2 linked regions of the Drosophila melanogaster genome follow. Changing the gene in region 1 together with any one later gene gives a genetic interaction. Each region holds a gene or a part of one and is shown on either strand. Other genes may lie near its edges.

Region 1 (3,755 bases):
TATCAGCCAAGGCAACTGGCGCACGTCTCTTCTTTTTTTCGATTTTAACCTGGCACGTGGTCGGCTGGCTGGCTTCCTCTTTCTCCGCTTCGAAAATCCCTCTTCACCGTGTATCTGTGTATCTTTTGCTATGAATTTACACCTGGAATTGGCAAGCAAACAGAACGAAACCAATGGCAGGGGCTGCGCGGGGAAACGCACTACAGTAGAGCAAACCCTTTTCGGATCCTTTTTCCAACTGCAACCGCAGATGGACACCTTTCGTTGGTGATCATGATGGGTACAGTGGATATCGATAAGCGAAAAACTATGATACGCAATTATAATACATAAGTATTCATACATTTAAAAGAAAAAAAAGAAATGGTATCCTAAAAATAAGGTTGGTTTAGGGCTTGAAATAATATTGCAAGGATATTTACTCTGCATTTTTAATATTTCTACTTAACCTAAAGTCGATAAAAAATATTTCTATCCAATGATCACTGTATTCTTTGACAATTTTTGGGGTTGTTCGTTGGTCTCGATGTCTGCCGGTTCCTGTTTCGCCAACATCACCTTCTCCGACCTTTTTTGCATTTTTGCAAACTGAGCGAACAGGAGGGGGAAATCGGGTAAGCAGCAGCAGATGTATTTCCAGGACGCACGCCTGCTGCCAGGATGCTGAATATGCATTTCCACTTTAATATCAAAATTTAAATGCTTTCTGCCCCGTCTTGATCCCTTCCGATCTTGAAAATTGCATCTGCTGTGAGGTCTGCCCGGTTCCGTCTGTCGATGCAGGACAAAAAGGACGAGGATGAGGATAAGGAGCGCTCGGCGCAATTATCATCCTCCATCAATGGCAGCGTGGCATCCATAAAGGATAAAGGATGATCAGACGCCAGACGGCAGTTATCCTGCTGACCACAATGCTAAAGCTTAGCAAATGAGACCACAATAGCATGTGTCCCAGATCATAGGTACATTTTTTTAAATTCTGTGTAAGCTAATGGTTTCAAAACTGGGAATTGAGTTACAAACTTTCCATTTCATTTTATAATCTTTATAGTGCAAACTTAAAAAATCAAAACAAAAACAAATCTCGTTTCATATTCTCTATTAAAATAAATTGCACATACAAAATGGACAATTAAATGTGCCGAAAACAATTGGGAAAAGAAGAAATTTATTATTATTATCAAGAAACGTTTGGGAATTTTTTTTAATTCCCATGGAATTACTCCATACATACTCCAACTGAGTACATACATACACACATATGTATGTACGTGTGATATTTGGCCCACAAAGTTCACGATCAAAAGCATTAGGGCAATTGAAATAGTTTTCTAGTTATATGAGCCAGACCTTGTAAACCCTGCGAAAAAGAAAAAGAATTGCTTTGAACCTGGCTGAACTACACACACACTAAGGTGAGGAGAATAACTGTTAGTGAAGATCAGAGCACTATGGCCAAAATCCCAAATGCAGGCCTAGAGCAACAACAACAAGAAGCAGGAAGAGCAACAGCAGGAGAAGATGTGGAGGAATCCCTGATCAAGGTGCAGAGTTAGAGGCATAAAGGTAAATTATAAGGGAGGCTCTATACACGCGAATAGCAGGCACAAAGCGAAACCATAGTAAATAAGAAACAGCTGCCAGAGAGAGAAAGAGAGCGATGGCGTCTCATAATTTTCTCTCTTGAGCTCTCTTTTTCGCTCCATCCACGCTCAGGGCTGACAGCCCTTAGCCAGAAAATGGATAAATTTTAAATTATTTGAATAGATTGCTTACAAATTATAAGTTTAAATAAATTGAAGCATTTTTAATGTAATTTAGTTACCGTTTCTTGATTTTAATTAAATTGTAAAACAGGAAATGTTATTCAAATCTACAGCCCAAATTGTCACTAAACGTTAATAGTAATTATAAAAAACTTAAATTTCCAAATATGTCTTACTGGCATACCTAAACTTCTAAATATCTTGAAAACATATACTAAAAAAAGCCAAATCTGACGGGAGAATTTCTGCGCGCCAGTACTATCCGTTACTCTCCAGCTGAGCTGCGTCAGCGACGTCGCGCTGGTGCGAAGCTATAAAAGGCTGCACCACCGTTTATTTGTTGAAAAAAAACTCAGCGAAAGGTTGTCTCGAAGTTGTCGTCGTCGGTCTTTGTGTTTCGTATCGTTTCGTTTCGTTTGTTCCCGTTGCGCGCAGACAAACAACCAACCAAATTCAAAATGTTTTAACGGAAAACATTCAAATTCGAAGAAGAACTCTATCGCTTAATTTAATGCCAAATAAAATACGCAAGCAGCTTGTGCATTTTCATTAGCATTACGCGTGTTCGTTTAGTTCGTCTGTTTTAATTTAAATAACGAAATAAGAAATAATCCACTACCATGGGTCTATCGGATATACCAGCCAACTATATGCAGGGCAGCCATCCGCACCTAACTCTCCATCCGCAGCAGCAGCACCACCAGAATCAGCAGCACTTGCAGCATCTGCAACAGATGCAGCAGCTGCACAACGCCATGCCCACTCCCGCCCAGCAGGCCGCCCAGGTCCTGGCCATGGAGTCCAACGAGCTGCTCATGAGCACCAAGGACAAGCTCTCTAGCAAGAAGAAAATGCACTTGCTCAAGAAGATCAAGAAGCGCTTTGGATTGGGTTAGTAGTCGCATTAGTACCAGGCTAAGAATCGGGCTAAGGATATCGATGGATATATTAACAAGAATATTCAGTTAATTTCCAAGTCGTTTTTCAAAGGACGTACAATTCTCGGAATATCCAGGAATAATTTTTAAAATCAGTGTGATTGGGTTCTAAAGTAGATGTAGTACATTTTAACAATATAAAACTTCCTTCGTGATATCTGACCATTAAAGTCTTGAAGCAAATGTAATTACCGCGTGCGAAAATGCCTTAAATACATTATTCATCGATCTGGGAATCGTATTTTTATCTCCAGCGATATTCCCACATAATATTAGCATGTGGTCTGACCTATCGCTCTTTCATTCATTCGGTTAATTAAAGCGGCAAGATAAATAAGCGAGAAACACAGCCAGCCGCAATCATTTATGCATACATTAGCATTTTACGTCTCAAGAACAATAACAAATAACGAAAGATAAGAGCAAAAACCGAAAAAGTTTGAGTTAGTTTAAAACAAAAAGCTAATGAATAAATGCTCACCCAGAACACGCCCAGTTTGCGATTATAATAGTAATTGTTTTTTTCCGACTAGATAGACACAAAAGAAGCGCGAAAAAATCTTAAATGTGAAATTCTCTCAAGGCTTTTTCGGCAGAATTTAACATCGACACTCCGACTTTTTCGCCGGAAATGTCAGTTCTCGAAAACTGAATTTTTCAATCGCACCCAAGTAACCGCAAATTGATCGAGAAGACCAGATCGGAGGGATCTTGAGTTGAAGAAAATACCACCAAAAGCAATTTTCCCAAGGAGCGATTATGTTTATCATAACGATTATCTGGGCTGGGGAATTTGTTGCGCTGTTTTTGTTTTGGTTGCAAGCAGCTGAGCTAAGGAAAGACAAAAAAAAAGAAGTAAAAACAACAAATCACCTTTTTTTTTTGACTTTGGCTCAATTGCATTCTCGGCTTCAATGCTCTCTTTTTTGGCCAAAGCAGGCGAAGCAAAAGCAAAGCAAAGCCAGTGACGCATAGGCTAAGCTTCTACCCCTTTTTTTTTTATTTTTACTGGCCTCCTACGAACAATTGTGGTCGCACAACTAGCAGTCGA
Region 2 (3,755 bases), 5.7 Mb from region 1:
CTTTGGCGGTTGGCGGTTGGCTCATTAATGTCTGACACGTTTGAGCGATCACCGTGCTGCAGAAACTCGAAAAAAGGTACTGATATAAAAATATATAAAAAAAAAAACAAACAGCCCAAAAAAAACGCAGTGTAAACAATTTTTTTAAAGCCGCTCGTGATTAACATTAAAAACGCATTTCCAATGGAGATCTGATTCTGCATGCACCGATTTCCGAGAGGAACAGATAGGCGGACTGCGGCAGCCAAGCAGAACGTTTATAAATATAATACAGTAGTTAGTGGCTACAAACGAAACAACCAACCATGCTAAACTTACAACTTTTCTAAAGCTATATCTATTTGAATATTAGGTATCTAAATTTATAATCTGGATCAAGAACTCATTTAAGTATAACCACGGAGTTATTAGCGCGTTCTTCTTAGGCGGAGCTTACTGTTTAAACTATGAATTGGGCGGGAATTATATATTCAGATATGACACGACCCAAGTTGCAAGTGCAGCGGAAGTGATCCATTACGCAAGTTTAGAGCGGAAAGAGCGGTGCGATTGCTCGAAAAAAAGAGATGGCAGAGTGGAAGGTAGAAAATGAGTATTAAAACCCATGGGGGTTTTATTACAATTACAATTCTGTGACATGCCAAACGAATCCCTCGAACTGGAAACTCTCTGTTCCAACCAGAATTCTTTATTTTTGGTTTTCTTTTCCTGTTTTGGGGTTAAATCTAAATACATACAAATGGCATTATCAAAGTTTAAATAAAATACTACATTTTATAATACATAACTTAAAGGGGATATATTATATTTGATTGGCAATTATAGAAGTTCCTTGTTCTCCTAATATTACAAGTTTATCTGGTTCTTTGTGCAACAAACTCACCTTGTGGCAAAACGCGGCTGCCTCCTTGGCCACGCCTACTCCGTCCGCTGAGTGGGCGTGCGTTGATGGCGAGGTCGCGTAGACGAAGAGCGGTAGCGAGCTAAAGTTCCGTTTGTCCTGAAAGCGGCGGCTGAAGAATAACGGCTTGTGGCATCCCGCTGCAGCGGCTAGTATGTTTGTTGTTGTTGCCGTTTTCGTAACACTAGGTGTGGAAGCTACTGCTGCTGCTTCTTCTTGTCTGCGCGTATTTACTGTTGTTGTTGTTGTTGTTATGGGTGCTGCAGTTGTTGTGTTTGCTGTTGTTGCATTTGCTGGGGTCGCCATTGGCGTATCGCAATTTTCTCGTATTATCGCCGCTTCTTCCTCTTCGCTGCAAGTTGTTGTTGTCTGTGTTTGCGTTTTTGTTGTTGGCATGACTACAACTACAGCTACTATAAATCGAATATAAATATATCGACGGAGGCGTGGGCGGTGGCGGAGCTGTGGGCGTGTCCCTGCAGCTGCTGGCGTCCCTTATTGTTGTTTCTGTTGTTCTTGTTGTTATTACTTAGGACCTTGGCATTATCCTCCTCCATCTTTTTTGCTGTTCAAGAAGTCAGCGAAGTTCAGCGCTTGCCAAAACTGAATGATTAGCACTTGCACATCGTCGCGTTTATCTTGGCTTTCTTCATTATTTCTTGTTTTTCAAGTGCAAAAATATTGTACAAATTCTTGGGCCATACAAAAGTGTGAGTTCTGTGTAAAAATTCACAAAAAAATACGCACGAAGCCGATTGCGGGGGTGGGAGAGAGATGGCGATACACGAACGAGTTCAAAGGGCCGCCAAACTAGGAAAAACACGCCAACAAATCAAACAAAACACTTGCACAACCGCAATTCGATCAATGTCGAAGCAAAACAGCCACTAATATTAAGTATATTACTTAATTAACAAACACTTTTGTTTGAAATATTTTGCAGACAGTTAAAGTTAGAGCTGGAACCAAAATCGATGTTTATGCGATACTATCGATGTATAGGGTAAGAGGGCTGCATTGATTAAATTCAGCTACCGTCGATTGTTTTAACTGTTCATACTATTATAACGGCAGTTTCAGACAGCGGAAGCGCCATTTGGAGTAGTGAGAAAATAAAAAGTTAAATTAAATGAACCAGTTTATTTTGTTAAAAATATTTTCATCCTTATGATAATAAAATCTAAATACTAAAAATCTACTAACGCCTGTTATTCCCAAAAACTATCGATAGCACAACGGAAAATATCGACAAGTATCCTGAATTGGCACGTCGGCCTTGCCAGACCAGCGCTCTGGAGTGAATTTAAATTTTAAAATAACGCCCTGTCAATTCAGTTGTAGAACTCAGTAGCTAGTCGGAAAGTTTTCAAGAACTCGGATTACCAACATCTCAAAATTGCTCAGTAAAAACATTCCGGCAGCCTGCAACACGTTGGGTGTTAACAAATTTACATACAAGTTGCAAGCTTTTGGGCGCACGCACCATCGATAAGAAGGTAGTTCGAATAAAATATAACACCTCCTCGCTGCCGGTAAAACTATTTCTTCTGGCTGTTCCCGAACTAAAGTGAGTATGAAGAGTCTTGCATTGGCAATCAAATTGTAATTAACTGATTCATCCCTCACCTAAAAGGCGTTGCCACCCAATCGATCTGGCCACCCCTAGCGAAAAGGTCATATAGCTGGACTGCTCTGCTGGACTTCCGCTTCACAACACTACCACACGACACAGACACACCATTCCTCTCGCTCGGGCTTACACTTCGGTGTAACGATTGTGCTTCGTTGCGTTCTCAGCTCACTAACGGTCGTCTCTATCGCACAAACGGTCGAAAGGCCCCGCATTGATTGTGAAAAAATAATCGTCGCCGTAGTCTTCGTCGGGTCGCCGTTTTTACTTGCAGTGCGCTGGTGCTGCTTTATTTCGTGACAAGGGACACTCAACCGAAAGAGCCATATTTAAGCATCAAAGTTCTAGAGGCGCAACGCAGCTTTGTGTTTCGTTTTTCGTTCAATTCTAAGCAGGAGGATTATATATTGAATAAAACCCAATTCTGTGCGAAGAACAAAAGAAATACGCGAGACACCAACACCAGCACACAACCAACCAAACACACACACAACCAACCAAACACACACACAACCCAGAAAATCAAATTTCAATCAGAAAATGGCGTTAAAAAGAATCAATAAGGTATGTGAAAAAAGGAATATCTCAAAAAACTTTGCGAAACGGACTAAAAAAAGAAAGAACAGAACCCTTTGCGATACACCAAAATGATAGTCTAAAAAAAAAGCGAACAGACATCAGTTTTCAACGGGAGAAAAATTTTATGCAAGAAATGTGAAACGTAGGTAGTAACCGAGGAGAAGAAAGAAGAAGCGGGGGGAAAGAAGCGTGCAAGAGGGAAGGGAGAAAATGAGCTGTGGAGTTACCATTTAATTAATAAGTTAGTAATTAGGAGCAGATTAGAAATTTTGAGGGTGGTGAAAAAGGTATAAGGATGTGTGTGTGTGGTGGGCAAGGCAACGTGTAGTGCAGTCATCGCTTCCGTTACTTTTGCGAGAGTGTGGGATAAGTGTGTGTGCGATGCGTGTGCGTGAAAGTGCAATGCAAATGTGCATTGTTTGTGTGCGTGTGTGCCGGGCACCTGGATGCATTTACATTAATGCAACTATACGGCGGAGTTTTCGCAGCTCTACGGGCGCTGTTACCCAATACACGCTGTACACGGCACTCGCACACACTCTCAGCCTCGCAACAGTCACACATAAACGCACACACTGCCAGCGCCGCAGAAAGATCCAGCAAAAAATAAAACAGAGCAAAAGCAAGAAGCGTATAAAATTAACC

The links. Genes that interact genetically often act in the same process or in processes that back each other up.
Region 2: of neur (region 1) and eff, changing one suppresses a phenotype caused by changing the other (phenotypic suppression), as found in Drosophila melanogaster (one study listed by BioGRID).

What each region holds. Positions count from the first base shown.
Region 1 is NT_033777.3:9,032,081-9,035,835, reverse strand, and holds the start of neur (neuralized), read left to right. Parts: upstream 1-2,104; 5' UTR 2,105-2,386; coding exon 2,387-2,657; intron 2,658-3,755. UniProt on the Drosophila melanogaster protein: Involved in neurogenesis. Interacts with other neurogenic proteins in the specification of the neuroblast versus epidermoblast cell fate.
Region 2 is NT_033777.3:14,739,720-14,743,474, reverse strand, and holds the start of eff (effete), read left to right. Parts: upstream 1-2,155; 5' UTR 2,156-2,468; intron 2,469-2,534; 5' UTR 2,535-3,071; coding exon 3,072-3,095; intron 3,096-3,755. Other genes in the region: jvl (javelin-like), read right to left, coding at 884-1,297. UniProt on the Drosophila melanogaster protein: Catalyzes the covalent attachment of ubiquitin to other proteins. Mediates the selective degradation of short-lived and abnormal proteins.